Linked DNA regions of Yarrowia lipolytica. The protein of the gene in region 2 interacts with the protein of the main gene of each other region in a pairwise test. Links are inferred from orthologs where the notes say so. Each region holds a gene or a part of one and is shown on either strand. Other genes may lie near its edges. The genes, in order: YALI1_F24469g, YALI1_B29785g and YALI1_D35809g.

Region 1 (12,138 bases), on a different chromosome or scaffold from region 2:
AAGTTCAGGCATCTCCATCTCGGGCTGCGACACAGCTAGCTCAAAAATAGCACGAGCTCGCTCCTCGTCACCAAGCATCTGCTCCAGCTCCGCATACTCCATCCACGGAGCAGCAAACTCGGCAAATTTCTCCACATACTTGTCGTAGAGCTTTCGACACCGGTCAAACTCACGCAGTTTGGCCTCCAGAGCAATGTATCCCTTGTACAGCGCAGGTTTGCCCCCCGACATGCCCAGTCCTCGGCCTAGGATCTTACGAGCCTCTGGCAGATTGCCATGTCGAATCTCAAACTTGGCCCATAGTAACCACACTTTGGCGAATGTGAACTTTTTGTGTGGGATGATAGATATGCATGTTTTGTAGATTTCACCGGCCTTTTCAACCTCCTTGTTCTCAAGCTCCTCCCAGATGGCATACTTGATCCACAGAAAGATGTACCGTCTCCAAAGACGCTTGGAATGTGGGGGAACGTTAGAAACAGCACGTTCAAAGATCTCACGAATCTGATCGGCCTCAAGACCACTTTCCTGACCTAGAGTGATGTAAGAGAACCACGTATCGTAGTCTGCAGGGTCCTCCTTCAACTGATCCTCGTACTTGGATCGTCTTTTAGTGAGAACCACATTCTCAATACCCTCCTTGGCTCCATACTGTTTCTCAAAGGCCGTGTAGTCAGCATACAGCTTTGCAGACTTGCTTTTGGGCAGCTTCTCGAGTCCATAAGTGTACAGAGCTCTTGCTCTTTCGTACTCCCTATGACGAGTCTCAAAACTCGCCCATCCAGCCAGCAGACTCTCATCCAGAAAGTCCACGCCTCCATGCGCCATTTCCACCAATGTGTCGATTCCCAGAGCATACACCTCCCTGACGGTGTCTCTGTTTCCTGCCTCCATCTCAAACTTGGCCCATTTGTTCCATGCTGGTGCACCTGGATGAACAGTGACATATCGTCTCAGAATGCCCCGCGCACGGTCAAACTCACGATATCGCTTCTCCATGTTCACGTAAGCTGCCCAGGCGGTCACCGGCGGCCTCCAATGCATCCATCTCTCAAACACGGCTCTGCAGCCGGCAATGTTGCCCAGCGTCTCCTCTGTAGCCACGTATGTGAACCACAGCTTGTCGACACGCGGCAGGAGTGTGACGGCTCTGTCCAGCAGGTTTCGTGCGTGGTTGATGTTCTTCTCCTTGAGCTCGCACTGAATGTATCGGATCCAGGTGGGCACATGCGTTGGGTTGACCTCGAGAGCTCGTTCAAATACAGATCTGGCACGTGCAAACTCCCGTTGCTCCAGCTCCCACTGCGCGTACCGCATCCACTGGCCGGTGTTCAGTCGATTTCGTCGCAAGGCTCCCTCATACTCCTGTCGTTTGCGGCCTTGGTACTCTGCCAGCTCTTCCAGATCGGCAATCTGCTCTGTCTGCTGAAGAGGCGTCTCCTTTCGCTCATATGCCTCCAGCAAAATCTGCTCTGCAGAAATCTGCAACGCGGCGGGCGCTTTGTTTTTCACCCTTCCTTCCATACCGGTGTGGTGTTTCGAGGTCGTATATGGCGTCAATATTTTTTGGTGATGATTCTGCGAAGGTTTTATTTGCAGTGATAACTAAGCTTCGTCGAGTCAACATGAGATGAGCGGAACAGTGTGAACGCATCTTGACTTGTGGAAATCAGTATATATAGACATATAGACAAGTACTACCTCCAACACCTAATGCTAAGAGATACATTTGTTTTCCCGTCTGTTTTGTCGGTCTATTCTATCTTTATATCGATACTGGCGCCACAATACAGGAACAAGTATTGTATGTAACTACGTACTTACAGAACATACTGTAGCTACAGTAGCTAGTTGTATGGCAACCAAAAAGACTACAAGTATTACAAGTAGCTACTACCTATTCACATCTATACCTAATTCCACATATGTTCATCCAGTAGCACGTAGTTCACGCTGCCCCATCCCACATCCTCTAATCAGTCAATTATCAATACATTAGTTGCCGCCTCGAAGGGCCAGGACCAGATGCAGAGAGGCTCCAGCTTCAATCTTGTTCTCCGCAATGGTCTTCTCGTCCTGGAGCTGCTTTCCGGTGAAAACGAGACGCTGCTGGGCGGGAGGAATACCCTCGAGTTCCTCGATCTTCTCCTTGAGAACGGAGATCTGAGTTAGTCCTGTTTGAGTGGTGACGGGATAGGTGCGAACAGGTCCGTAAGTGAACCTTGCATTTGTAGGATCGTGATAGAGAACAGCACTTTCCCATGACTTTTTCCCCTTATCGTGTCTCATTCATGCCAACTTCATCGTGGCACGCACGCGTGACCACTTCGCAACAGTCCCCCCAGTCCCTCCATCTCTTCATACTCACCTGATCTTCGGGCTCAACGTCCATCTCAATCTGTGTTAGCTTCGTCGTCACACACTGGCCGCAACAGTGTTCCAAATGTCATTTCATCTAGGAATGTTACTGCTGGGTGTATATCGTGGTTCAGGACTCACCTCCTTTCCAATGAGTGTCTGTGTTAGCATTTCCAAGTTAGCGCACCGCAAGCACGAATCTGCGGGGAGGATGCGCACAATGAGTTCTTTCGAGTCCCCAATCATGTACCCCGCGGTCTCCCCAAATCATACTCACCTTGATCTTGATCTTCATGTTGCGTGGCTTGTATAGTGGTTGAGGTTGAGTTGCAGCTGGAACGAGTTTAAGTTGCATGCGAATATATATTTTGGCATGCACAACCACCAAAGAATATCGTAGTCTAGACACCACCCAGAAATGTCGTTTCCAACACCTTCCACGTCATCAGCCAACTATGAAGAGGTCTACGAGCCCAGCGAAGACTCCTTCATGCTCCTGGACGTGCTGGAAATGGAACAGAGCTACATCAACAGCCATCTGTCATACCCTGTGGTGACAGAGATCGGAACCGGATCAGGCATCGTCACCACCTTCATGCTGAAATCCGTGGTGCCCAAAGGCGTTTTTTTGGCTACAGATATCAGCCCCTTTGCATGCAACCAGGTTCTGGCCACGTCAAAAGAAAACAACGGCACCCAGTACCTCGAGGCGCTTCGTGGAGAACGTACCACAATGATGAGACCTCATACCATCGATCTACTGGTCTTCAACCCTCCATATGTGCCAGACGACAAGCCCGTAGAACCCTACCCGGAGACAGATGGTGACTGGGTCGATTGGGCACTTCTTGGAGGTGAAGACGGAATGCAGGTGACTTGGAAGGTGCTACTAGAACTGAAGACCATACTGTCAAAGAACGGAATCGCCTACATTTTGTTCTGTGCAAGCAACAAGCCAGAACAAGTGGCTGTCAAAATGAGGGAACTGGGATGGATCGTGACGCGCATTGTTGAAAGAAAAGAAGGCAGGGAACTTCTAAGTGTCTACAGATTCGAGCTGAAGTAGTAGACCATCATTGCATATTAATTACATTTTTTCACACGCATACATATCATTCATTCATTAATCTATTTAGTATAATATATCATCTTTACTCCTGGATATCGGCCAAGAGATCCAGCTCACAAGCCTCCTGATCAGTCTCCTTGAGAGCGTAAACACTTTCGTAGTTGTAAATGGAGAGCCGGTCAAAGAAAGGCTTTAGCTGTGCAAGAGAGGTAAGAGAACCAATCTTCTGTCCAAAAAGCAAAGGCCGTCGCTTGGAAGTCTCCTCCAGATGAAGATCATCACTGCTGACAGGCGTAGACTCAGCCAACTGATCCAGAATACCGTAAGGGTGTCCGTAAATAGCATCACTGGAATCGGTGACAAACAGCCATTGATCCAGCTGGAAATCCTCCTGGTTAAGCACCAGCACAAGATCGAGCAGCTTACAGGCACTCATCACGATTCGGTTATCCGTCTCCTTACCTTGCAGCAGACCCTCGAATATAACCTGCAGGTTGTGGGCAACCAGAGGCCAAATGGGAACCAGATGAGTGGCAGAGAACCGCATAACAATAGCACGCAGTGCAATGAACAAGGACTCGAGCTCAATCTCATCCAGAATGCCCTTGATCTCCTTCATATGAAGCACAAACTGGTCTTCCTGGCCAGAAAGCAACAGGTAACACAAACGTCGAACACTGTTACCTCGAGAGCCCCAGTTGAAGACACCAGATGAGCCGGTGATGAGCTCAGAAACCTCCTTGGTGCACGTGGACCACTTGGACAGAATCTGGGGCCAGGGAGCCTCGTAGACAAAGTTGTCCTCGATGAAAAAGTCGTGAACGGCACTCTTCCACACCTTGACGGTTCCTGGGATCTGAGTGATGACGCCGAGTAACTCAAAAGACCGTTTGGGGATCACGACGTTGTTCACAATGCCCTGCAAAACGGAACTCACCTTGTCTTGGTCAATGAGAATCGTTCGCAGAACAGGAACCACCTTCATGAGAGTCTGTTCATCGGTAACCTGTCCGACCAGCTTCACAACAGCATCAGAGATTTCCTTGCTCACCTTTCGGTTGGCAAAGTTGCTGCCATCAATCTTGACTCCAATAATAGTGAGGGTCTGAACGGTGGGAGACAAGATTTCCTTGTAGGGCACGGGGTTCAGCATGACGGTTCGGGCGAAACCCATGTAGTCCGTGTAAATGTCCTCTACAGCGTCGTTGGATAGAGACTTCACATAAGCCAAAAGGAACGAGGCCGTTGACTTCTTCTGGTCATCTGAGAGACTCTGAAGCAACTGGCTCACCGACAGCTTGGGCCGAGAGCCATCCAGAACATGCAATACCTTCAACACATGGGGCATATCATCCTCCGAAAGCTCGATCAGCATTTGAAGAACCTCACCTCGCTCGAAAGAGAACAGCTTGTCGAGAATTTTTCGAGCTCGGAATTTCAACCGCTGGCCAAGGTAGACAACGCTGTCCAAAGTGTATTCCTCGGCCTCCTGTCCATCGACCTTCCGCCACAGATTGAAGCAGCTCTTGACGGCATTCTGGAAACACAACAGAACAATCATTCTGTAGCCATTGCCCTTTGTAGGCTCCTCCAGAGATAAGACACCATTGACCACGTTGGTCATCCACCCCGTGGAGTTGAGATTTAGTTCCTCCTGCGAAGCCTCGACCTTGGTGTAAGCAAGATAAAGGGACTCGAGACAGTATTCCAGACCTGTCAGGTAAGGAATAATGGAGTCAGACAGAGGTGCCGTGACATCAGTGACTGTATCGCCAACTGCAGGGTCCTTCTCGCCGTCCTTGTCGTCAACTTCGACCAGAACCTCCCTGGAGCCTGTAGAAAGCTTCTGCAGAGAAGCAACGGGGGTACCATCAACAAGAGCACACAGTCTCTCGACGATAGCAATGCTAATCTGGAACAAATCAGTAGAGTAGATTCCGAGCAGACACTCTAGGAAGTGAATCCATCCCGAACTGATGATAACGCCCTTTCGAGAAGACAAGCCATGCAGAACAACAGCAATAAAAACACCGGGAATGTTCACATCTGAGGTTTCAGACACCAAGGGGATGTCCACAGGACCGTTTCCAATGAACTTTTCGCTCTTGGAAAGCGTCATGGAAAGATCCAAGGCCTGCAGAGCCTTGGCAAGAACTGCAAGCACGATGACCTGAAGCTCCGAGTCCTGGTTTACCAAGTCAGACAGCTTAGTCACCAACACGCGCACAAATACCTCCCAATTGGCTTTGGAAGTAGGGAAGAGAGGCGAATCAAGCAGAATGGAACACAGCTTGAGCACTGCAGACAGAGCTGAACTGTATGCCAGCGTATCAACAGCCTGGAATTGCAGAAAATGAGCCATCAGGTTGGCAGTCCAAGCGGCATAGGTGGATTTGCCTTCATAGTAATCGTTGATGTCAAATTCTTCCACCTCCTCCTTGTTGAAATGGAATTTGGCCATGCTAGAATTATTGGCAGAAAGAACCTTCGTGAGAGCTGAGACGTGGTATGCGAAAAGAGCCAGGTCATCGGACTCTTCAAACAGCAGCTTGCCTTCAACGGTTGGCCGGCTGAAAAATGCGGACTTGGACAGAGGGTCTAGGAGAAGTGAGAATAGTTTATCACACGACCCGCTCGAAGCCACTGTGTTGAGCCAGTAAGAGCCAGCAAGAGATTTCTCCGATGCAAAAGCCAGGGAAATCAGCTCATTGGACGACACATCAGAGGCGAGGAATTTGTTTTTGCCTGCATTGCTGCCATAGAGCTCCAACTGAGAGGTAGGAAGAGGAAGCAAGTCGAGATACAGGAACAAGGGTCGAGCCAATAACTTGGAGAAGTTGGGTGCCGAAAGAGAGTGCTGCCAAATAGCCGAAAACACTTGTGACTTCTCATCACAGGGTTTCGAAAACAGAATACTCAGAGCAGCCTCCACTTCCCTGTCATCGCTACCGTGAACAGCCTGAAGAGACCACAACGCCTTGACCAGCTCTGCATTGTGGAAAGGGCCGTTGTAGTACTGTGAGTTGGGGGTTAATGATGTGAAAATGTATCCTACCAGAGCAAGAAGATTCGCTGGGAACAGCGGGTACAGCCTGGTCCATCCCAGGACAGCCACGGGAGGCAGAGAAGGCAGGGGAGAGCTGGAGAAGGGGTCGAATTGAGCCACTGCTTCTTCACCTGCCAGCTGTAGAGTTTTTTCCAGCTGTTCAGACTTAAAACCAGAAACCTGCTTGGCTTGTAGCTCGGAAATGATGAGTGCAAGCTTGGAGAAGATGGCTGGGTTATTACTACATTCAGCAGTGACCTTCTGGAAGAACTCATCAGCCAAGCGAGTGGAGGTCTGTAGAAGCAACAAGTAAACATCAGCAGCTCCATATCCATCGGCCCACTCGCCATCGTAGTACTCTTCGACCTTGGACTCAATAGTGGACACTTGGAAATCGCCATCAGTGAGCGTCGAATGTTCCACTGGTAAAAATGCCCGCTCGGGGATGAGTTCAATCAACAGAGTAGCAATCTCGTTCCACTCTTTCCACTGAGAAAAACGTCCAGACAGAAGATGGCTCAGTAGTGCCAAAGGAGCATGCTTGACAATCATCTCTTCGTCCGAAAGATTGAAGGTTTGAAGTGTGAATAAAGCCAAAGATAGAGAGCCAGTCTTGAGCATCTTTTGAATGTCGGCCCAAATGTTGATTGCCTCCACTGAGTCAACAAAGGCGGAGGCTGACAACACAATATCCTGGTAGTCAGGTCTCTTTTCACAGTCGTAGACAGATTGGATAATGGGTGTCAGAATCTCTGGAATCACAGTAGATCCAATTTCCCATCGATCCATCAACGAGAGAGAAATCTTGGAAGCTCTCACTGGCGAACTCAGAGCCAGGATGCCCTGGACAAGCGCATCTCGGCCGTGTGTTGTAAAGTACTCCTTCATGGAAACATCATCGGGTCCAAGAAGCCAGGCCCACAGCCTTCGGTTGAGAGACATGTCCTTTCTGAGCACGGCGGCACATGCGCTTGTCATCAGCAGAGAAATGTCGCTCTTAGAGGCCAGGCCTGTAATGACAGGAGAATCGAGAGGCAGGTTCTTGACTAATAGTTCCAGAAAACCTCGCTGGACAAGGAGTTGGTCGTCCTCTAGCCCCCGACAGAAGGCCCGGATCAGCAGGCCACATTCCGGAGTGACAGCTGACTGGGCTTCGTAGGATAGACTGTGAATGATCTTGTCGGATTCATTGATGCCCTCGACCTTGGAGAACTGGGGCAGTTCTTTGTATGCATAAACCAGCGCTCCTTGCCTCTTATCTGGAGCGGATACAATGGTGAGGAAGAAGCATTGCCAAAAGTAGGGCTCATCATGGAGACGTAGCTTGAGCTTCTGAATGAGATCAAAGCACGCCTGGAATGACTCACTTGACTCGTCGTCGATACCGGGAAGCAGTGAGAGCAGCAGCGGTCGAATTGTCGTTTTGAGAGTCGCTTGAGGCAGCTTCTCCACAATGTCCTCCTGAAGTACCTCAATCAAGATGGGCTTGACGTTAATGGATGCATATGCCATGAGCGGGAGCAGTCCGGGGAGCCAGACTCTGATTCCCTGGGCCACGGGGTCCACCGATTTGCCGTCCAGACTCTTGTGATAGTCGCCGATACCTCGCAGTATCTCAAACACCTGACGGTACACCTCCAGGGTCTTCTGGTGCACTCCTGACGGCAGGTTTGGCAGCAGACACCAGGCCAGTTTGGAGGCAATTTCGCTCTGTAGCGGCAGGTAGGATGGGTTGGAATGGCTCTTGAGTGCTTTCTGCAGCTTGCCAATGAACGAAATGTAGTCTGCCCATTCGTCGACCGAGTCCCATAAAGCCAGCGACTTCTCTAGTGCTGACGTGTATTTCTTCATTTTTGGGTCTGAATTAGTAAGTCCTGTCATTGCACACACTCGAACAGTCGTCGTTAGTGCCGGATCATCGCTGTGGATCTCTTCTACCACCCCCTAACGCGTTCGTGACATGTCCTCATGTTGAGGCGTTCAGTGCTGTAAGAAGAACAGACACAAACAAAAAAAGAGCTTGCGTGCCATAACCCTCTTCATACTTACCTTGGGTCGCATCCTTGGACCAGAATGGCAATGGCGATATTGACCGAAACATGTTGGTGATACCCTTATGTTGTAGCTGACAGAAGGTTCAGATACACACAGCATGATGATGCGTGTGCATGGCAGGCTTGGGTGGAAACAATAGGACACATATTGTAACGTCAAGAGGCGAGTGAGAGTGAAGGAATGAGTGGGTTTCCAGATCCGCGACCACCCGATATCGTATCTCTGAACGCTTTTGTCGTGCCACCTGACTAATCACTCCGGCAAAGGTAGACACGTGAAACTACCCTAACCCCCTGATGGGAGAGTGACACGTTTCAGATGTTTTTTGTTAGCTTTAGTTAGGGGATTAAGTAAATTCCGTGGGTTACGTAAGCGCGGACAGACATCCGGAAGACCAAAAATAAAATAAAAATAAAAAAATGATACAAGCACAGTAGAGAGCAAAGGGAATAGTCATGCTGATTGAGAAGCTCCACGGTAGGTTAGATTTGATGCCCTAACCTATTAATAGGAACCCACTTTCGGGGAACTTGTAATTATGGAAAGAAAGACCTCACGGTGTGTACTGTTTTCACCACCTCAACAGTTGGACACTTGTATCTCTGAGTAAGATGACAAATTCACATCTTAAGCTTGCGAAGAGAAGATTAGCGATAGTAGAGGTATATTATTCATTCGTTTTCCTAAAACAGAAGAACGTCTTTGCAGATGCGTTGGCTAAACCCCATGGACGTAACGCTCGATAAGGGTGGGACTAAGAGCGATAGTCGGAACTGAATCTTGACTTTTATGGTGAATAAGACCATTTCATAATGTCTAGCACGGCCGAAATTATTGACTATCGAACTCTCTGTCCTATTATCTGCCGTAGTTCATCGCCAGCGATTGGGTCTCGTGCCATCTCTTCCCGGTGTAGGAACCACACCCTGCAGGAGGCTTTTTACACGAACGCTTGGCTAACTTACAGCCATATTAATTGATTCTTGCCCCTTTGGGATTCACCACAGACCGCAATCTGCACATGCTACTCCACCTGAGTTCATATATGTTCGTTAGGATGTGCGTGATGAGCTGTGGCCCGGTTGTGCTGTCAGAAAGACGTTCACTTTTGGACCAAGTCTCCCAGTTGTCCCCGAGTAGCAACCTATAGACCATCTATGGGTGACAGAGATGATGAGTCTTAACTGTAGGTTGGGCGCTATAGCGGCAACGGTGAAAAAACGCTCACACAGCATATTTCTTTTGGGATGCTGGTTGGTAAGAAGATCGAGCGAATTAAGGCCCACGGCTCCCGGGTCAAGTCCATCCGCTACAGGTATCATGCAGCAACAGCGTTCATTAATGAGCTCGCGGCATTGTTTTGCATACCGTCGTGCTCAATAGGCTCGATCGGTATTCACTAAGTCGAGATGGACCAGTGGTGGAGAAAGTAGACGACGTAGACTGGGTCAAGGAGAACCCAGCCTGGGGACGAGGCCTAGATGATGGCGACAAAGCGGTATGACGACATCTGTACTACCGCCGCCTTCAGCACCATCCATGGCCTCAGCTGTCTCAGACCTCAGCCAGCCACAGACAGCTTCAACTGACACAAACAGAAGGCTATTTTTTCATCTGGGAAGACCCTGCGTGAGTTGAGCCAGTTACTGTATCAGGGCAAATGTTTTACAAGGACACTCCCTCTCCTTCCGCCCTGTCACGATTAGCCTCGAAGGTACAAGTAGCAAACACATGGCCGATCGAGTTTTTCGCTCCCTTAATCATGCAGATGGGGTGGATTAAGGGGGTGGCATCTTGTTTGTATGGGTGAGAAAGTCGCAAAACACTGGCGCATCTTGTGGTCCAATGTTTCACAGATACATCCAGTCTGTGGGCCCACCTCAGATCCTCAACACACTTTCATATCCCTCCTCCTCCCCCACTTCAACCGTGAATGTGTTGATTTCTTTTTTTCCTCTCTCACCAACGTTGTTCATGCCCCATGCATCAGGACTGTGGGCACAAATACCAGAGATTCGTGATGCTCTGGACCTTCCTCTTCTGACACGGTGCGTTTATATGGATAAAATATATCCATCAGGCTCGACGCTCTCTTTTCCTCAATGTTGCATGATGTCATACAGTGTCGTATTGTATGTACTTGCGCTAGAGAGAAGAAAGAAAAGAACTGAACCATTGTATCCCCTCTTGATGATCGCTTCTTTGTGTGGCTCCGGACCTGGACATGCAATCTTGTACCGGGACACTCATAGAGAGAGAAAGAAAGAGAGAGAGGAGATCAGGGCCCTCAAGGACGCCCAGATCGTGGCCCAGCAACCTCCAAGGTCAATTGGACCCCCACTCCAACATTTGGGGACCTGATCTGCACCCAAATGGGCTTAGCCGCTTGAACACTACGACCCAGACGCACGCATTCCGAACCAACTTTGTTCGGAGGTTCGACACGCCGCTGGAGGACCTGCAATCTCAGTTTAATGCGAATTGAGTCTGTTTGACAGTCGTTCAGTCAGTCAGTGTCAGTCAGGTCAGTCAGTGTTCAGTCAGTGTCTCAGTGTCAGTCTGTCGGTTCATTGCATGTGGAATTCAGGTGTCCGATCGCAAACTTTGAGCTACGCAACCACAGCAAAACAGCGACTCCCTTGTTGGACTTGTCTCAAAGCTCGCAAACTTTCTGCCAGCGGGCCCTCTTGTTCTTATGAAACCATGAGATTATTTCATTAGGAAAGAGGTTGTGATACACGGTGGCTGTGTGTCTCCAATCTCAATCATCAGCAGCTCTGAACCTATGAGACAGAACGTCCAAACCTACCTTGATGGGTAAACGTTTGTCCCGTTTGTCCCGTTTGTCCCTGGTGACTCAGCAACCAGACAGCACTTGTCACGATTCAGTACACGCAGTCCATGGCTGCCCAAACCCGGACGTCAACCGTGAAATCTTCCGATTATCCACGCCAAGAAGCCCTGCAGCCCCCACAACAACAGTACAAGTACTTTTGTCTCTCCATCCAGGTGGAGATTTCTTTTTTGTCCTGACCCCTACACAAAGTTACGCATTTCGGTCGCTGATTGCCGATTGCCGGCTTGATGAGCCCTCTAATTGTCCGAACAAGCTGCAACATCAGCATTAGACAGTACGGAGCGGGTCGTACCTAATGGCCAGCCCTGCCAGCTATCGTTAGAAAGAGAGCCAATTCCCTTGTCTACAGCCAACTGGGCTCCGGCTCCCGGAGGTTTTCCTTGTTTAACCAAATACCGACGCCGATTACGCCTACGAGTGTTTATGGCAGTCAGTTTTGGTTAACTCAACTCCGTGGGGGCTCTCATGAGCTGTGCTAGAGCGGCTAACCGCTGAAGCTGCGCATCTGGCGATTGCACCCTTGATCCACAGAAAGCGTGCGTGCGAACGGCCTGGATGCTACAGAGCGAAACCCCCTTAGCACGTCGGTCCTCGGACGTCTGCGATGTGCAATCGGTGGAAAGGTGACGACACAAAGAAAGGAGATCGGATTGTTGTCGGCAGCGGACTCCTACGACCAATAAGCGAAGATTTCCATGCATCCCGCAGGTGGTAAGCGGTGGAGGAGGGGGGGCGAGGGGCGTTCTTCATGTG
Region 2 (11,204 bases):
GGCGTTCGGAGACTGCGGCGTCGTCTGTGGTTTCTCCACACTGACTCCCATCTCGCGGCTATTGAAGCTATTAGCCGAGAGCCGCTTGATACATACAACTGTTATCACCGAAAGTCATGTCATGTTGCACTGTACTTGTACCTACATGAGAGAGCTTGGCATTTATTAATTGGAAACAAGATGCTTTGCTCAACGCCCTGACTCTCTCTCGTGTATGTACAGTACAGTAGTAGATCGTTGTACAATCGCTAGTATTCCCTGGCCCAGAGAAACCGGCTGATGCGGCTTGCAATTTACCGCCCTAATGCGTACAGACTCATGGACTGGGTCTGAAATAGCTCGTTTGACATCTCCTGCTGGCCTGGACCCCACAATGTGAACCCCACAATCTACACTGAACCAGCGCTAGCCTTTGGTCCTGGTGTTCCATTCTGTTGGGTTATCGGACTACGTGATTTTCCCCCCGGCTAAATTAGACCCCGGATATGACCCGGTGGAAACCGGTCTCAAACTCGACTAAAAATGTTTCGCAGGCTTGGCTGGCGTAAGCGAGCTGCGGTACAGTACATACAGTATATACTGTAGCTAACTAAGAGTCGTGAGCTCACTTCGTCTTAAGCGAGGGATAAACTCGCAACAGCCTGTCTCCGAGGCAACGGCTGACACGCAGAGGAACCTTCTCATATACACGTCCATTTGCACGAGTATGTAGCTACATACTGTACTATTACACCAAAAAGTAGACGAGGCCATGTTGAGAAACGATCACCTATAATATAAACGGAAGTGACCCCCAAATTAACTAGATGCTTCTCATGACCGCATTGCCAGTGTAACCCAGTGTATATCAACGGCACTTCGTATACATTGATAGCCCTATTGTTGTTGATCCTTCGTGGTAGCCTCTAGAAAATCTTCACAGCAGACACGTCCCACCTCTCTGAGCTGTCTTCTTTTTGAGAGCAAACGTATCGCAGTGTTGCAATCGAAAAAAGCCATTTTATAGAATTCAAGCCATGGTGTGGTTTGTGATTATCATCTCTTGTATGTCTCGAGCAAGGCCACAATGGTGTCTTTTAGGTGGTTTGGTTTCACCACTCTTTGTTTCATACTTACACATTCCTGGGTCTCCACATGTTGTGAAGAAGACACCCAGGTGAAACACGCGCACAAAGGGCCCAGTTTTCTCCTCACTGGCGCGTTACTGCAGGGTCTTGAGGGTTGCTTGAAAGGAACGAGTGATCGGCGACCGTGAACAGCGTTCGCTGCATTTTTGAACCATCACTAGTTTTCGAAGGGGGCGACGATCAAACTTATTTTGCACTCGCGCGAAAGGGCATTGTGGATGTCGATGAGGAATAATGATGCAGAGGTGACCACTCCTTGAAGCACCTCTGGTATGAGCTCGGTTTATGTATTCAATTAGTGACACGATCCGTCCGCAAACAGACCTATCTTTCCTCCTATGCTTGCGATAGAAGTCTTTGTCGAACCACATCTTCGCGACACACCCCAGTTGATCGACGAAAACACTGTCGATCACGTTAGGCGCAGTTAAAAGGATGGCGCTCCCATTTTTATCGAGGCTCTAGTCGCAATCAGTCACTCGCCTCTAGCCACTCATTATGAAATTCACACTCCTTTTGGCTGGTCTGTCTCTTGTGGCAGCCGCCCCTGCTGACGCTGATGCCTCTGCTTACTCCAATGTTCTGAACATCATCAACAAGCACCAGGGCCACCACGCCAAGCGTGACCTGGCCGACTCCGCAAAGGACCGATACCTCGTCTTCTTCAAGAACGGCACCTCCATCCAGTCCATCAACGGTCACATCCAGGACCTTGACTCCAAGGTCTCTCCCGAGGTCGGAGCCATGGCTGGCACCAACGGCTTTGCCGCTACCAGTAGCAACCAGGGAATCCAGGGCGCCTTTGACGTCGACGCGTTCACTGATGGTAAGGGATTCACCGGTTACTTTGGATCTTTCAACTCCTCCGTGCTGGACTCCATTCGAAGCTCCCCTGATGTCGCTTCCGTCGAGAAGGATGTGCTCATCTCCCTCGGCAAGCACGCCGCTCAGCCCGTCAACCTGACCGAGCTCCACAAGCGAGACTTCCAGTCCACCACTGTCGCTCAGTGGGGTCTGAGCCGAATCTCGCACCTCAACAACAACGTCCAGGGCGTCAACCCCGACAAGCCCTCCACCGTCCGAGTGCCCTACAACCGAGAGTCCTCCAAGTACGACACCACCGTCTACGTCGTCGACACCGGAACCTACGTCCAACACCAAGACTTTGGCGGACGAGCTCGATGGGGAGCCAACTTTGTCCAGGGCGAGCCCATGCAGGACCTCAACGGCCATGGTACTCACGTTTCCGGCACTGTGGCTGGTTCCACTGTCGGAGTCTCCGGAGAGAAGACCTCCATTGTCGCTGTCAAGGTTCTCAACCAGAAGGGCCAGGGATATGCCTCCACCATCATTCAGGGTATGAACTGGGTTCTCTCTGACTACCAGAAGGCCGGCCAGCCCCGATCCGTCATCAACTTCTCCGGAGGTGGTGCTTCCTCTCCCGGTCTTGACCAGGTTTTCCAGCAGGCCGTTCAGCAATACGGTATCCCCACCGTTGTTGCTGCCGGTAACAACGGCCAGGATGCCTGCAACGAATCTCCCGCCCGAGCCTCAAAGGGTATCCCCGGTCTCATCACCGTTGGAGCCACCGACCACCTCGACAACATTGCCGTTGAGCAGGACTGGTCTTCTGCCAAGGGACAGTGTGTCGAGATGTTTGCTCCTGGTGTCACCATTCTGTCTCTATGGATTACTAACGACGATGCTGCTGCCACCATGGGCGGAACCTCCATGGCTGCTCCCCACGTGTCTGGTGCCATTGCCTACTTCCAGTCTATTGCTGATGGCGTTGTCCCCGCTGCTGTGCTGGAGTCTTGGGTTAAGGATGCCTCTACTGGCAAGGTTAAGGGAGACCTTGGTGGAGCTGCCAACAACTTCCTGTGGAACCGAGCATCTTTCTAGACGCTCCGTTTGGAAAAACATATTTAATGATACCTAATCAAAATTAGATTCTGATACACTCCATGTTTCCTGTATTCTTGTACTTGTACTTGTAGTTTTATATATTCCTTATGTTCTTCAGGTTCAAGAAAGCAGCTATCGAAAATACTCATACTTCCTTCCTACTTGTACGCGTAGCTATTGTACATAATCTGATGTCACGGCCGATCGGACCCTGTCTCATGCCAATGTTATGAATGGCGCTGTTTTAAAGTTTTGGGCAAAATAGATGAAACAACTGAGATTGATGATCTTATGTGCATGGTAATTCAGCTCCACATATTGTTGTGATAAGACATGCAATAGAGTTGAGCCTAAAACCCCACACATTCCAGTCAATGACAGCTGCTCGTGCAAATCCTATAGTTGTACTTGTACGTCACGAATCCATCATTCAAACATAAGTGCTTGTACTTGTACGTCATTATTCATCTAAATACTTTTATTTAATGTGGTTAAAATTCCTGTAGAATCACTTCTGTGCTCTCTCCACGCATTTGGAGCTTCAACAGCAAGGGGAACAGCGCCTTGAGCTCCTTCTTACTATCCGGGCTCTTCTTTACTAGCAAACCAAGATGCGTGAGAATTACCTGAAGCTCTTGGTTCTGCAGCTTAGGAATGGGCATGGAGCCTCGAATCACGGAGTCGTTAATAAACTGAGAGATACATGCTTGGGCTCGAGACATGGCGTACTGTCGCGACGACAGAGAGAGCCGCTCCCGAGCGCTCCCGGTACCATCCCCCTCTCCTATCCACAAATTGAACAATAGTGTTGTACAGTAGAGAGAGAAATCAGGCTTTGACACGGCCTGTAAAGTGCCTGAGAAGCCCAGAGAAGAAGCCTTGGTCTTCCACACCAGGGAGTTCTCATAGATGGACTTGAGAAGGGAGTCAATGAGCGACTCAGGGACATGGTCAAGTCCAAGAATGGGAAAAATGAGCTTCTCGTACTTATGGAAACCCTGACTTCGCTGAGCCAGAATGGACAAACCACCCTCGACAACACGGGGCCACAATGTCTCCTCAGTAGACAACCGAGGCAGCACCTTTTCAACAGTCTCCAGGAACAGCTCCGTAGCATCATTACCAAGCGATGACAACGTGGTGTCCTGAAGCAACAGTGAGATAACGCTGTCATCTACAGCCTCAGGAACTTCAGGAAGTCGGCTCCTGGAAAGCTCAACAGCCTTCAGCGATGCAGCTCCAAACTTGGGAGAGTCATCCTCCTCCTTGGAGGCAGTGCTGGATAGCTTGGAAATCCTACCAAGGATCTCCAAGACCTTGGCGTGGTGGCCAGAGACATTCGAAATTTGTTTCAGCACAGCTGTCTGAACAGGAGAGGTGGACGTCTGGTCCTGAGCGAACTTTGGAAGTTGGGGATGCAGAAGGCAGTTGTAAAGAACATCCAGGGAAGCGTCCAAAGTCGCATCAGGCACATTTCTGTCCAAATCGTAGATAATGGTGTGCACAGATGCATGCTCAGCAATGGCACTAGATGCAGAGCCCAGGTTCCACGGGCTGACATACTCAGTTCCCCAAGGAGGAGAGAGCCAGAACTTCCATGCAGCAGCAATGCTCTCACGGCTCAATGGCGTAATGGTCAGAAGCTCTCCGAAAGACTTGCTGATAGTTACGGCATACTCAGGATGTGGGCTTGTGGTGTTTAGCTGCTCAAAGTAGGAGAGCAGCTGGATAAAAAGAATGTCAACCTGGTCGGGCAAGACGGTCTGCACAACACTCATCATGTGATTGAAGCCAGTAAGCAGCAGCGAGACCGTGTAAGGGTACCTTGCTGCAGCTCCGGCGGGATCATTCTCGATCAGATCTCCTGTGGGTGTCAAGAAGAGCTTAGGCAGAATCTCCCTGGAAAAGGTCTGCCACAGGTTGGGTTGGAGCTTGTCCTTGGGGAGAGACTCGAAAGTTCGGAAGAAGGTCTGGATGGCACCATTTCTGACGTCAGCACGAGAATCATGCGACATGAGAGCCAGAGAAGACATAAGGATGAGCCACAGAGCAAGAGGCTCAGTAGAGTCTCGCATCTCGGACATAGTAAGGACTCGATTGATGTCGTCTGTCTCCTTGGCCTGGCGCAAAATGCAGTCGGACACAGTCCAGAACAGAGAGATGCATGTGAATGACAAGTTGGAGTCTGAAGAATGCTGACAGAATTTGTAGAGTAGGTCCACGAGTGTCAGAAGAGCATCGGAAGGCAACTGGGTAAGGAAATCATTGCAGACCAGCTTGACTGAGTCAAAAGCGGCCTTGGTGACCTCCAGAGACATGTCATCTCTCAGACCGCTGTCCAGAATGCTAAAAATGGTGCTCCAAGAGGAACACTTACCCAGTTGCTGAAGCAGCGAGTGGGTAGTCTGTAGATGAGCCAAGACAATCTCCGACTTGTCGCTCTTTACAGCCTTCAGAAGCGAATCAAATATTCGAGCATGAGCCTCGGGTATTTCGGACTCCGAAGATTCCGAGAGTTTTCTCTGAATGAGGGCACACTGTAAACTCTCACATGAGATGAGATGACCTAACAGCTTCTGCCACAGTACTTCTTCCTCCACAATCTTGGTGACGTTGAAAGTTGCCACAATTCCAAGCTTGTCATTGTTCCACTCGGAAGCTGATCGAGTCAATGCATTTACAAGGTCTGAAAGAGCAGAATTTGAGTAGTCTTTCGTCGAGTCGAGCAGCTTCTTCTCTGCAGATAGCACCGCAGGGTCAGATCCGACCTTGGACTGCGAAGTCTCCCGTAGGGTATCAAGGAGAATGCTCCATGATGAGCCCAATGTAGTTCCGAGGGCGGTTCCGAGGTTGACTAGAGCCCGAAGACACAAGATAGCCCGTTGAGTGGGTGGTTTCTCTGCACCTGTGGCAAGAAGAGACATGAATGCATCACGCGCCGTCTTCCTATCCACATATCCCGCAACATGTGCCAGTTTTTGGACAGCACGAATAACGCTGTGAAGATCCAGGGACTCCTCAAAGGGTCCAGAAACCAGAGGACTATACAGATCCAGAATGGTAGACCAGGAGTGGTCAATGAGATGCTTACACAGAGTTGCCCGAGAGTCCTGGTTCTTCTGAAGAAGGAACTTTGCAAGCGCATCGCATAGGGAATTGGCACACGTTATCGCAAGATACTGCTCGTACCCCTCGGGTAGAGTCGGTGCTTCTGTCTTGTCCAGTGTGTCAATGAAAGGTGTCTTGGTTGCACTGTTGAACCTGGTTCCCTCCTTGGTATGTTTCAGCAGGTCCCGGAACAGACCGAGAGTATCTGCAAGAATGTTCTTGCGTCCCTCAGCTACGTCATACTCCTTATAAATGGCCAGAAGGAGGTCAAAGTCGGAGAAGACACCTTGAAGAATCTCCATGCACAGTGCACGTTCCCATGATTCGGTAGGCTCTCTTGACAGATGGACGAACAGAGTCAATGTCACCTCACACTCAGCTGGCACCAACGCAAGCAGGGTTCGTAGCAACAAATACAAGACTCGAGCGATTCTAACAGCCACGGGAAACGGTGCCTCGGAAGAAAGACCACGAAGCAGTGCTGGGAATAGCTTCATCTTAACACAGTAAATGAGCTCGGGATGCTCCTCAAACACCATGTGTTGGTTCTGCAGAATACTCTCCACCAGTTCGAGACAGAAAGTGTCCTTGTAATGGCCTTTCAGGAAAGTAGATGAGTGGTATTCAATGAGAGAACAGAGATCAGACAACACAGATAGAGCGTCATCTGCTGCAGGAGACACGAGAATCTTGTCTCCTGTGTCGACTGGCACCTCAAAGGTCTTGGGAGGGTCCTGCTCTTCTCGCACCTTATCGAAAACAGACACTATTAACTGTTGGAGTGTCGCCGCTGCGGAATTGGATACCACAGGGGGCTTGTTGGGGGCCTTGAGGGCTGAGCAGATCGCCAACAGGGCGCTCAAGTTCTGACCCTGCAGCACCTTGGTGTAGTTTGCCATCAGTGTAGGGAGACATTGAAGGATCTTGAGCTGGATTTCGACGCCCAAGTGGGTAGCCTCCTCCAACGCACCCAGGACTGACGGAATTGACTTGTCGGAGAGCGCAGAGATAGCCAGCAGTCGTTGTATCAATGGCACTGCAATTGCTGTGAGTTTGGCGTTACGTGACGAGCAGGCCAACACCAGAGGCTGGGCAATCTTTTCGTCCTTCTTCAGGTCTTGCGGTTGCTTGTTCTTTACAGCATCGAGTGTGTATTCGGCAGCCTGTGTTAGTGTCTGTTTCCCATGTGTCCGTGTCGCATGGGAGGCACGTGTGAGAGAAGCCGACACTTCCTTCGCGTCAATACGCTGGAGATACTCACCTGACGAAGCTCAGGGTGTCTTCGCTTGCTCTCGGCAAGCAGACTGGACAACTCCACAACCAGTTGCTGATTCATACTGGCTGATACTGGTGGGTGTTAACTTTAGCTGTGCATACATCTGACGTAGCCTACATCGCGAAGGACTGCATTTAGAGTTGTCCCCAAGTCACTGGCACTTAGTTTGTCAAGATATCAGTTGTGAGAAGTACTTGTAGCGGTTGATGTTGATTGAGTATGTATTGGGGGAAAACATGCCTACCATTTTACTTCCGAGGTTTCCTATTGTCTGTGTTGTGACGCTCTTCTTTACAGTATGTCTTCGCTACTACAGCAATAACGGTGGCCGTTGTGGTGTGGTTATGGTGTACACTGTACCTGACTAATATTAAGGGGTTTCAATTAATACCCCGCAAAAATAGAAAGGCCTAGAAAAAACCCTTGACTTATTTTTAGAAGCTCAGAAATACAGAGCAACTTTTTATATTTTCGCCCCTATATATATTCCTCGGCTGAGCTCTTTTTTTTCCAACTCAAATTTCAACAAAACATCCAGTTTTAACTGACTCTGCACTTGACTTTATCGATAATCAATTAAAGTTACCCGTGTTCGTCTGATTAAGGTTGCTCCCAACCACGAACCACAGCTCCATCAATTGTAAATCAGCTGAGTAATCTCAGCCACTTACCCTACTTAACCTACACATTTTCATCCCACAGTTGGTTATCTCCAACACCACAACATGTTAGCAAAACGACTTGGCCAGCTGGCCAGCCCCACCGGATCGCTGCTGCGAGCAGGATCCCTGGCCACCGCACGACCAGCAAACGCCCCTAGAACCCGTCGAATCTCCATGTCGTCCCAGAGTGGCGATGATAAGCGAAAGCTATGGAAGGACTTTGATTTGCCCCCTTCGCCACTGGTGGGTGAGGGAACTCCCGAGGACCGATTCTTTGAGATTGCTCTGTGCCGACACCGACCTCTGTACCTCGACACTTCTGTCTCGCACCTTTTCTCCGATTCCGCCGCCACCAAGCGAATGGATGATTTCATCAAGTCTCGGCCTAACGAGTACGCACAGGGAACCACCGAGGGATACAACCCTCTGTTCCCTAATGCCATGAGCGTTTCCGGTCAGGTTACCAACCCCGAAATGATGCATTTTTCTAAAAACGTCACCGCCGACCTCTACCCCTACGAGAAGTACTACTCTCCTCAGAAGTCCGAGTTTGAGGTGATTGAGAACGCTCGATCTGACGCGGACCTTCTCAAGTTCATCGGTGAGGCCGTCAAGAAGTTTGAGGCCAAGAATACCGACGCCGACCTGGAGATGACCTCCGTCAAGCGAAAGCGAAAGATTAAGATGAACAAGCATAAGTACAAGAAGCGAAGAAAGGCTCAGCGTGCTCTTCGACGAAAGCTCGATAAATAATAATGTATATAGCGGCGATAGCCAAATGATGATGTATCATATTTCCACACGAGTGTTTCATTATTTCAGTTCGTACAGTATGTACAGTATCAGGACAAGCACTGTGTAATTACGTAATTTCTGTATATGATTTTCGCGACCCAATTTTGGCGCTTGATTTTGACGTTCACCTTGCTTGGTGCCTAAACATCGTACAATAATAAAGCTGTGGCTTTAGTGTAAACTCGCTTTGGGTTGGGCCCACCTTATTTATCACTCAAACGGGTGGTGTATGTAGCTATTGCAATGTATTCAGTCTAATGTACAGTTAGTAAATAAATAAATTAGTGCCGATGAACAGGCATATGCTGAGTGTCCAGCAGTTCCGGAGGCGGCCTAGTTTTTTTCGAGTAGTAATAGTCGAGCTTTTTGGCCAGTTGTGAACGCACCGAACTATGTCCTCGAGCATGAGCTGCGTGAGTATTGTGTTGAAGTTCTTGGGGATCTGGCTGGTCCACAGAGTCATAAGAGGTACTCGAAGCACGTGAGAACAGTAGTCCTGCCTCGATGATACGGTCCGACAGCACCAAGAGCGGCTGAACGAACCGCTTTGCGGCATTTGGAGTTGGTGTATCCGCGTCCAGAGACACGTCCGTGAATTCCCTGAATTCGCTGGGGTTCATAATTGATTTTCCACCCTCGAATCCGAGATAATCGTCGTCTTCTTGCAGCTGGCGACCCAAGAAGCCTTCCTTTTCGTGGTGACGTTCCAGACGTTCCACACGGTCAATCCACTCCCAGGCGCACACTATAGCAAGCAACGTAGAGATCCACGTGAGCGAATCACTCCATTCAACTAGCCAGGCGTTAGCAATGTCCACCACAAATAACACCACGGGAGAAGATGATGCCAAAATAGCAATGAGCGTCATGGGCACCATTTCCATGCACATGGTGGACCTCGAGTTGGTGATTAGATAGTACACCATGGAGCAGGCGTACATTATTTGGATGGCCACCTGGAAGAGGTATTGGAAGGCCGGTAGCGAGCCGGAAAACTGGTATTGGAGAGCCATGTCAATAGATGTGATTCCATTCAGCACTTGACAGACCACAGACATGGTTCCACCCAACCAGAAAATCATCCGCTGCTCCATACGTCTGGAGAAGACTCTCATAACCACCTGCACCTGTGCCAGCAGCATGATGAAGTAAAACACCAGCTCCAGCACAGCCAGATAGACGTACGATGACAGCCGCTCCACCAGCTCACTTCTGTCGAGGTATCCCTTATTGTATTGTTCGTTAATCAGCTGTGTCGAGTGTGCCAAAATGATCGTTAGGTATATGGTTCCAGCCAGTACACCCAGACGCAGCAACAGCGGTCTCCGTGGTCGCTTATGCGGCATGACAAACGATATCATCCACAGCAGTTTCATCCTCGATTCCTTCTTTTCCTCCTCAAAGTCTGCAGAGCTGCTTCCATCAGACTGTAGCGAGCTCTTGTATGGTTCCGTCGTCTCTGACCCACCGTTGGACTCCACAGGAGCTCTAAAGCCGTGGCTGTTTTCACCAAGAATGAGAATAAGAACCACTATCCACGCCACCACCATGGATATCAACATCGAGTACGTCAGTGGCATTGTCGAGTTTCCAAACTTGCCTTGGTGAGTATCAGTCCATTGTTTCCAGCCTTCCTGGATCTGGTCGAAGAGCGGAAAATGCATGGCGCTCGAGTCGACGGCCGCGACAGGGTGGCCGTGGTAGCATGCTGGGGTGAAGGTGGCGATCATGCCCTGTAATGTTATCGTGGTGGTGCCTAGGTCGACGGCTCCTTCTGTTATGATGATGGGCACACATCCCGGGTGGTCTGTCGGATACACCGGATCTCGCCAGACAGACAGGCGCTTCATGGGAGAAATGGACCTGCTGGGGGAGTGTGTGTGTGTGTGTGTGTAGAGCCAGGCTTTCTGTTGAGGGTGTGCGGGAAAGAGTTGCAGCGGATACTACGGATGAGGAGATGAAAGAAGAAGTCTATTTGCAGGCTTGTCCCACAGCTTAACCTAGATGCAGACAAAGGGCCACGCAAGGTGTTTTTAGACACAAGCTTCTTGGCTCTCTTGGCGGCAGCGAAAAGCGAGATTATCTCCTCGGATCAGGTCTCACCGCTATAGATGATGGAAAGTATAGAAGCCAGTGTCCCCTTGGCACAATAACAGCCTTTTCGCATCCTTACGACCCGGAGCAACTTTTGTTCCATTAGCCTCCTCATGTCCCAATCCTTAATCTTTATTTTCCAGGCAATCTGTGGAAATAAGCGAGAGACAGTTTCCGAGGCATGTGGACACGAGGCGTGGGCCCATGAGCGTTTGAGCGTTTATTCCTCACTCACTT
Region 3 (9,249 bases), on a different chromosome or scaffold from region 2:
GGCGGCAGCGGCAAGAAGAACGGCGGAGAACTGCATAGTTAGAGAAGGAACGAGTGTATTTGTTGCGGGAAAAGAGGGACACAGACGAGGACACGGTGGATATATATACAATTATGACGACTTTCCACCCCCCCAACTCCACCATTTTTAACGTTCACAACATCAGGTATAGAATACGCCTGTACCGTGTAGGGATAGAGTTACAGTCGGTCTACTTGTACTGTACTGTAGTCATCATTACAAGGTACAAGAGGTACATACTGTGTACTCGTACATACATAGATGAGGCCCCCTGTTCAGTGATTTCCTCTTATACAATCAAAGTGTTGGGAGTGAGAACTGGAACGAAGAAATGTGCTTTGGATTTCTACTGCATCTTCAATACTGGTACCTCCAGGGCTCACCATGTATCATGAGAGGTTCTGATGTTCTTACTGAGACCCCCACTAACCAAATTTAGAGTCCAAGAAGACTTCCGAGTGTAGCAATAACAAGACCAAAAGGGAAGTCAAATGAACCTGGTAAGTATATCGGCCCTAAGACCCGTTACCATGAGGCTTCATAAAGGGCTACGATTCGAGCACCGAGTGACCATTATGCACTTAATGGGGTTTTAAGTCTGAGACAACATGTAGGGAATGTGGTTATGTAAAAGTAGCTATCTATCACCCGTCTGCTGAGGGACATGAGATGGTTTAGATAATCTGTGCATTATGTTAAACGGCTGTACATGGGGAAGATGGTAACAAAAATTATCACCATTGGAGCGATGTGGCCCTCGTTTGATAGATATACGGACAGTTCCCCGAAGCAGCTGTTCTCATCCTCTCATATGGTACGGATACTCAAGTTATCATTACGTACCCATTCTATAATTTGCATTTATTGCCTTCTTGTTTTGATTTCTGCGTTCAAGAAGGAACCTTGGTTTGAATATGCCTCAGAGGCTTCTTCGGGATGATCAGGTTGGCCTCGTACCGGCACTTGTACGATGCTTAATGCTTATGAAGATCTTACCCATGACGAACAACAGTAGCTACCAGGAAGTTAAGATGAACGCCGACGCTTCTGTCGCACAAGCCAGCTTAACCTGAGTTGAAGTGGCCAAATCTATGCAAGTAGCCACCAAAATCTCAATCACATCTCGAAATCCCTATTATGCTAAAGGTTTACAGGAAAAGTAATTATGCGCTCGATAGTTCCATACACGACACGGCTCGTTTGCTATATATAACTACAGAAAGGCTTCCGACTTTGCTTTTGGTTGAAAGAATTGTTCTGGTACTGGCAAGTCAGTTTCCCGAAATGGAATCTGTCCGTTCAGCCTGCTCCTACTTGGAACTTGGTGTAGTTACGAGTGTACATACAGTAGCTACAAGTACAATACATGGCATGAGTTTGACTCCATACCCATGTCGAAAGTGGTGCTGTACAGTATGTACGAGTAGTAGGGGCAGCTGAAGGTATATCAGCTGTAGCTACGGAATTTTCCCTTGTAGCATTTGCGAGTGCAAGCACATCGTTCTTGGAGAAGTTCAATCGTTAGATTGTCATACATTACTGTACCGTAAGTCCACTACGAGCACAGTAGAAGTAGCAAGAGCCAATTCACTTATAACACATACCATGAATGAAGACTTCGTGTTATGTGTAAGCCACAAAAACAGGGCGAGGCTGGGTGAGAGTTCACGGAACTGCAAATCATATTGAAACTGTGCAAATAGGACATTGTTTCCTACGAGTATGTACAGTACGACCTCAGTGTTTGGCTTGAGCACGGCTAATACCGAGTGAAGAGGAGGGGGATATATATCCTGAGCAACTTCAGTCTTTTAATCGACCATGAATCAATAAACCGAAGTATAACAGATCATCAACCCCAAGCCAAATTATTTACCATGTACTCCACCAATCGGCAGATGCCGTGATCATTGAAGACATCTCGAGGTATGACAGAGGATCATCACAAGAATGTCAGAAGAGAGCCATGTTACATCACATCTAAAAATGGAACACCCACTGTGACTCTGGCTTCATCTCAGGAGTACGCACGGCAATGACATGTTACGTCAAAATGACCTTGCAACGGAATGTGCCTGTAATTGAACTACTTGTAGAACTATAACGTTACTTGCGCCATACACGGGTTGTGTTTGGGTTTAAGGAATCATTGGCACATCAGGGTAGAGTATGTACTGGTGTTGCACTAAGTACCTTGTTCGACGGTATGTGAGCTACAACGAGAACGCGTTTCCAATTTTGTCTACGGGGTCAGCTTTTTTCTTTCTTCTCGTCGTGCAAAGGCTGACTATCAGATACGGTTCTTACAAGTATGTACATACCCGCGAGGTCGATCGTCAGTCCGTAGATCTTGCACAAACAGTCTGAGACACATCCTGAGACTCCATACCAATCTACAAGTACGTTACTGAGCGGATCATGAAAAAAATATTAACAGTCATTACTCGTTACGGACATGAAGAGGCACTAATAGCATAAGTTTGCATTTACAGGTCCTCCACGGTGCCGACCTCTTCAACAGCCTTCCCTCCAATGTTGAAGTTCAGCTTGAATCGCAGCTTCAGCTTGTCGCCAGCGTTGCCAACGTGAGCCTCTTGGGTCACTCCGTTGATGGAAGCAGCTCCAAGAGTGTCGGAGGATGCGGGGTCTAGCTTGAGAGTGACAGACTTGGGAGCGGCAATCTTAAAGTCCAGAGCGGTAATGTTATCAGTGAAGGACTTGTTGGAGAACTGCAGAGTGATCTCCACGTTACTGCCAGACCTGCTGACCAGGCCAGACACCTTGATGTCGCCAGTCTGCAGAATAGAAATCTCCTTACCGGCAGCAGCACCGGAAGAAGCACCCACAAAGTTCCAGGCCTCAGCAGGGTCCTCAGAGGGTGCTGTCTTGACCGCGTGTGTCTCACCGGCCTTGTTGGCAGTCAGCTGGGAGAGAGAAGAAAAGTTGAAAGCGGGAGCAGGAGTAGCAGCAGGAGCAGGAGATGCCGAGGGAGAGAAGTCCAAGTCAAAAAGGTTTCCGGATCCAGCGGGTGTGCCAGAGTGCTTTCCAGAGGCTCCGGACACAGCAGGGGAGGCAGCGCTACTTGCGTTAGTGGCCCCCAGCAGAGAAATGGAGCCACCCTGACCAAAACCGGAGCTGTTGTTGAAGGACAGACCATTGAGATCGCCAAGCAGATCGTCGACGGCGGCGCCGGAGCCAGATCCGGAGTTTCCCGCGGGTGTCGCTCCTCCAGCTCCTCCAGCTGCAGGCTCATCGTCTCCAAAGTCAATGAGGTCGGAAACAACGGCCTTGGAGGTCGCAGATCCAGAGGGGGCCTTTGTGTTGACGGCGCCAGCTCCACCAAAGTCGCCCTTTCGCAGAAGCTCAAACTTCTCAACCAAAGAATGCAGGTAGTCGTTGAGTTGTAGAAGCTTGGCCACGGTTTCCTCGTCCTGACCCTCCTCCTCAGTCATCTTCTGAATTCGGGGGTGGGCAGCCTTGACGGCAGAGTACATCTCTGCGTAGACATCGTCGGGCTTGAATGGGGTGCCGCTGGGATGCCCCTGCATCATTTCGTCGAGAAGCTGCGCCTTAGTCTTGATTTTCTCCAGATCCTCGGCGGCCTTGGCGGCGTAGTTTGTCTTTGATTCCTTGAAACCAGCCATGATCTTCATGAGATGGTTGGCTTCCTGGAGGTCTCGAGGAGATCCGGATCGAATGAGCTCCTGCAGCTTGGCACTGTGGGCGTCCTGCTCTTCAGCCTCCAGCTCAGCAGCAGACTTGAGACTTTCAGCCTCTCGCAGAACAGCAGCGTCATCTCGGTTGACCTCGGGGAAGTGGTAGCCCTTGTAGGTCAGCAGCCGGTGCATGTCTCTGATGTATCCCAGGTCATCCTTGTACCGCGAGTGCTTGCAAAGTGTTTCTCGCCAGTCCTGCAGCACCTCCAAGATCAGACACTGGGTGTGAGTGTAGTTCATTGGGGGCTTCTCGGGGAACTTCTTAACCAGTTCATTGAGAAACTCTTTTCGGGAGATTTGTAGGTGAAAAGGGTAGCCACAGTTCTTGACACAAATGTCCAGCAGCGACAGAGCCATGATGGACACGTTTCGGGACTGGTGGTTGATGAGCTTGACAATGGCCTGGGCAGCGTCCCGAGCGCTATTGCCCTTTTTGGAGTTGATGTAGTCGGCGACTTCAAAGTCCAGCGCTAGGTTGGGCTCCACCAGATGGGGGGCACAAGCTGCGCTGATTAGCTTGAACAGTTTTGCATTGGACTGCGACGATCCACTGCCGGTTCGGGGCGTGGCTTGCACGTAGTAGTCGTCGTCCACTCGAAAGCGGGCGGTGTAGTCAGCCATCTTTTTGTGGTGTGTTGCGCTGTGGAGTCGGAGTTGTGTTCAACCAGGTCGAGATGATGTGGTCGATTGGGAGGTGCGGAATACATGCGTTGCCACAGTTTAGGGTTGGCCGACATTTGTTTTCAAATTACTGCGTGGGGACGACGAAGCGGTTAGCACTAGAATATGAAGGGCTTATTTAAATGACTATACTGGTGTTACAACTGCTGCCATATATTCATCTACTGTAGAGCTCATCCCCTCCTCACCACCTGGTTCCCACTGCGTTGCGCTTAAATTTCGTATCCTGTAATCTCTAGTGGGTAACCATGTGGCTGACTGACTGGGGTCTCACTCCAGCTCAGACGGGGAGTGCCGCTTTGTCATCAGTGAAAAACTTTTCACCACCTCTCCGCACAACGCTCAATCACCACCTGTCTTTTATATATTGGTCAGTACATTGGTATTGGCTGGTAATAAGCCTTGTGTGCCCTTGTAGGGCTTGGCGCATCTAAATGCCGCAGCTACAGCGTGGCCATAACAGAGGTGGCGGTTGGTCTCATGCCGTGCGTTATCTGACGTCCTTGCAACTGTAAGATAATCGTTTCGATTTTCTCCTCCCAGCAAATGTTTCATTTCCTTCTTGCCCTCGTTGTGGGAAGCAGTAGCTTTGAGGAGGCCTAAGCAAATAGCTTTGTTCATGCAATGCATCGGCTACAGTGTCAGCTACGATACAAGAAAACAGCTGCTGCTGCTGGCGAAGACTTTCCAATCGGAACCTTAAAACCAGCACTATCAGATTGATTTTTTAGATAACCGTTGCACCATCCATACAGGCACAATATCGCTCCAATATCTATTGTATTTCCACATCTACAACCTCAACTTATACCACCTAAACAATACTACCTATAGCAGCGTAAATACGGGGAGTACCCGGACTCCTCTAGCTAAGCTAGGATGGATGTAATGTAGATACCATCGTGGGTCAAAACGTCCATAGTGTTCTCGCCTGGGTGAGTAGTTTTTCGTCTGTCCGAGCGTTTATGCCTCCTTCGGGGCCGCCTTGGAAGCCTCAACGAAGGTCTCGAGAGCGTTGAGAGCCTTTCCAGACTTGATAGACTCTCGCGCAAGCTCCACACCATGCTTCCAGTCCTTGGCATGACCATCAATGACAGCCAGAGCCGCAGCGTTCATGATGACGTAATCGGAGATGGGGTGACCATCGGGAAGCTCATTGGAAAGAAGCTGCTTGAGCACGGTAGCGTTCTCGGTGGGGGTACCGGAGGACACTTCAGACAGGGGGTGTCTAGAGAGACCGAAGTCTTCAGGGGTGAGGTAGAGCTCCTCAATCTCCTGGGAAGGAGTAACTCTCCAGACCTTGGTTCGTCCGGCAGGAGAGATCTCGTCGAGACCCTCCTCTCCCCAGACAACCAGAGCAGGGGACTGAGACATACCCTGAACTCTGTTGATATGGGTGATGGCTTCGGCGAAGATCTGACCAAGGGCCTCGGAGTACACACCGATGATCCGGGCCTTCACTGGAATGGGATTGACGAGGGGACCCAGGACGTTGAAGAGGGTAGGGATACCCATGGACTTTCTGACGGGGGCAACTCGGTTCATAACGGGGTGGAACATGGGAGCGAACAGGAAGCAGAAAGGACCCTTGGCGACAATATCAGGCACAGTGGATTGGTGGACTCGCGACATGTCAGCTCCGAGACAAGTGAGCAGATCACCGGCTCCAGACATGCTGGTGGAGGCCTTACCGCCGTGCTTGCCGACCTTGATGCCCATACCAGCAGCAACAATAGCCGCTGAGGTGGACACGTTGAAAGTGTTCTGTCCATCACCTCCAGTGCCGACAATGTCGACGTAACCCTCGGGATCAAGCTTGGAGGTGTCGGGCAGACGGGCAGCGTGTCGCAGGGTGTTGGCGGCGGCAGCCAGGTAAGCAGCGTTCATGTCGAGACCCTTAGCATGCAAGAGGGCCAGAAAAGTGATGATCTGGGACTCAGGGACCTTCTCCTGGGCGACCAGAGCCAGGACCTCGGCGAGATCCTCGGGGGTGAAGGTGTCGTCCAAAATGGCCTTAAGCTGGGTGTTGAGAGGCAGAGACATGGGTGTTGATGACAAGTGAGAGTGGTGAGGTATGGTGTACCTTAATTGAGTCACTGCACCGACCGTGAAAGTTTCTCTGCGGGATGAGGTTAACATGGAAAATATCCTGAATACCGTGAATAGTGGTTGAAGAAGAGACAAATGTTGGACAGCCTCCTATCCCACGACCCAAATTTACATGTTGTACTAGTTCCATTAGTCACACAATGACTCACTAAAACAGACAGTGGGTAGGGCCATTTAGGTTCACTCGTGAACACACAATAGTCAAGCTCCGAATTATGGCGAGGCCACCATTGAGGTAAAAAATTGCCTTTAATAAACGAGGTGTTATGACGTACGAGTACCTGTAAGAACAGATGAATTCAGATGACTTTTTGTTCTAGGATCTAAAGCAGCTTTCTTAGCCAAATGCCACACACTAATGTTCATGTAAGGTCCTTGGGGGTCCCCTTACACCGCAGTGTGCCACGAACGAGTGTGCTCGCTCCTTTATCAACACATGGTTGGGTTTCATCTTGATCTATAGGTCCGAGTTAAAAAAACGCGATCTATGTCACAGGCACAAATAAATGAAGCGATACAAGGTCATCTCTTATACTGTAGCGACAGTGAGCACGACCGCTCTCACAACATGCAGTGCAGCTCTAGACCACTAATGCAACTTGTACCTGCCACCGTTCCTCTACTGTAAGAATAACGCCGTACAGCATCTGTTAGCTCTGAATGTACTGTAGGGAGCGGGCTAGAGTTGGGGTCCTTTGAATGAGAGGGAGGAAGGAGAGTATATCTGCACAACTTGAGTGTCTCATACTATCTTAGGCGGATACGAGGTGACACATTTTACAGTATGCACGACTCTAAGGGCTGTTTTGACTCGTCGTGGAAGTATCAATGCATGGACCTGGGGTAACAACTAGAGCAACCAAGTCCGGCTATGAGCAACTACTGTACACAGAGAGAGGGACAATCTGCTATACCTGACCGCTATACCTGACCAAGTGCAGTAAGTATCGTACAGTATGTACAAGTATTGGCACTTACATGTCCCAATTTGCAACAGAACCCTTATCAGCTGCACACTTCAATGGCACCAAGCTTGACTACAATTATAATTGAAAACGTACGAACCGTGGTAGGTGTACCTGTAGTTCGCCCGACAAGTGGATGGATTCAGTCCAAAATAACAGCCAATCGGATATTACCGCTGGTGACACTCTCAGACACATGTCTATGATGGTCATTGTTAGCACCGAAAAATTCTTCACTCACAATTCAACAATAGCCACCTTCTATGATAAACCGTTTGACTATGGGGTTGTGTCAGGCAGGTTACAGGACACATTAGAGCAGCGAGACAGCCTCGTATTTCGTATTTTCGCGGACCCGACAAGACAGAAATAGCTGTTCGAAACACGTTAGATCTAATTTCTTTTCAAATTATAAGTACTCGTACGGCATTCATACCAATTCCATGCTGGGAACGCTCACTGCCGGCTCTAAAGTTTCCCAACCCAAGACACGTTGTTTTGGAACAGGACGCGTTGTATCCACGTGACGGCGGTTGCCTGGCAGCACGCGTTCAATGTAAATGTGGTTACGAATGCCTAACACGGCAGGTCGAGTGGGACGACGTAGGGTAATAATTCTCGAGAATACACCGCTACATATTTGTTGGTCACATTACAATCTGTCTAATTAGAAATTATGACGTGTAGTCGAATTGTTGATTTCCCCCCTATTTCTCGGCCGGGTAACCTACGCTAACCTCCACGTCTGCACCTCCTAGGATTCTCGCATCCTAATCACGACATTATACCTATCAATCATGGCGACCACAGCACAGGCTGCTATTCAGAGCATTGGCGTGGCCAATCTGCCAAACCAGCGGTGAGTATGGAGAAGTGTGAACCGGTTATGGGCTCAGAAACACGGATACACTGGTTATGAGCTATCACTCGTCCTACGTGGAGACATTGTATACACCACTAACACAGACACAAGATTGTGGCCAAGAGTGGAGCTACCTTCACCCTTATGGTGGCTGGCGAGTCTGGTCTCGGAAAGACCACCTTCGTTAACACCCTCTTCTCCACATCCATCAAGAGCTACACAGACAACAAGACGCGGTTCAAGCGACCCATCAAGAAGACGGTGGAGATCGACGTGACCAAGGCCGAGCTGGAGGAGCGAGGATTCCGAGTGCGACTCAACGTGATCGACACTCCCGGATTCGGTGACAATGTCAACAACCTAGACTCTTGGCAGCCCATTGTTGAATTTCTGGACGACCAGCATGAATCTTTCATGCGTCAGGAACAGCAACCAAACCGTGTCGGCAAGATTGACATGCGAGTCCACGCGTGTATCTACTTTATTCGACCCACTGGCCACGGACTCAAGCCCCTGGACATTGAGGCCATGAAGAAGCTGTCTTCTCGAGTGAACTTGATCCCCGTCATCGCCAAGGCTGACACACTGTCGCGCAAGGAGCTGGCTATCTTCAAGCAGCGAGTTCGAGACACCATCATCGCGCAAAACATTCGAATCTACCAGCCCTCAGTGGATGAGGAGGACCAGCGAGCTGCTGAGCACGCCAAGTCGCTTATTGACGCCATGCCCTACTCCATCATTGCCTCTGAGAAGGACGTGGAGACCCCTGATGGTCGAGTGGTCAAGGGCCGACAATACCTGTGGGGAGTTGCCGAGGTGGAGAACGAGGACCACTGTGACTTTGAGAAGTTGCGATACCTCCTGATCCGAACCCACATGCTGGACCTCACAGCCT

Evidence for each region.
Region 1: the proteins of YALI1_B29785g (region 2) and YALI1_F24469g interact in binary tests that used the Saccharomyces cerevisiae proteins (3 or more experiments, as listed by UniProt). The link is inferred for Yarrowia lipolytica from reciprocal best matches to the Saccharomyces cerevisiae genes MON2 and DOP1.
Region 3: the proteins of YALI1_B29785g (region 2) and YALI1_D35809g interact in binary tests that used the Saccharomyces cerevisiae proteins (3 or more experiments, as listed by UniProt). The link is inferred for Yarrowia lipolytica from reciprocal best matches to the Saccharomyces cerevisiae genes MON2 and GGA2.

The regions. Positions count from the first base shown.
Region 1 is NC_090775.1:2,438,586-2,450,723, forward strand, and holds YALI1_F24469g (uncharacterized protein), read right to left. Parts: upstream 8,575-12,138; coding exon 8,523-8,574; intron 8,333-8,522; coding exon 3,510-8,332; downstream 1-3,509. Other genes in the region: YALI1_F24401g (uncharacterized protein), read right to left, coding at 1-1,524; YALI1_F24408g (uncharacterized protein), read right to left, coding at 1,996-2,289; YALI1_F24413g (uncharacterized protein), read left to right, coding at 2,777-3,424; YALI1_F24478g (uncharacterized protein), read left to right, coding at 9,237-9,276, 9,330-9,508; YALI1_F24486g (uncharacterized protein), read left to right, coding at 10,029-10,157, 10,201-10,338; YALI1_F24489g (uncharacterized protein), read left to right, coding at 10,374-10,889. UniProt on the Saccharomyces cerevisiae protein: Required for traffic between late Golgi and early endosomes, and for the normal structure and organization of the endoplasmic reticulum. Required for normal cellular morphogenesis.
Region 2 is NC_090771.1:2,974,828-2,986,031, reverse strand, and holds YALI1_B29785g (uncharacterized protein), read right to left. Parts: upstream 7,477-11,204; coding exon 7,402-7,476; intron 7,304-7,401; coding exon 3,524-7,303; downstream 1-3,523. Other genes in the region: YALI1_B29844g (uncharacterized protein), read left to right, coding at 1,626-3,029; YALI1_B29779g (mitochondrial 37S ribosomal protein mS38), read left to right, coding at 8,142-8,831; YALI1_B29753g (uncharacterized protein), read right to left, coding at 9,155-10,723. UniProt on the Saccharomyces cerevisiae protein: Required for traffic between late Golgi and early endosomes. Required for endocytosis and maintenance of vacuolar structure.
Region 3 is NC_090773.1:3,575,966-3,585,214, reverse strand, and holds YALI1_D35809g (uncharacterized protein), read right to left. Parts: upstream 4,359-9,249; coding exon 2,508-4,358; downstream 1-2,507. Other genes in the region: YALI1_D35852g (uncharacterized protein), read right to left, coding at 1-36; YALI1_D35787g (uncharacterized protein), read right to left, coding at 5,382-6,557; YALI1_D35768g (uncharacterized protein), read left to right, coding at 8,290-8,351, 8,459-9,249. UniProt on the Saccharomyces cerevisiae protein: May play a role in the regulation of membrane traffic through the trans-Golgi network.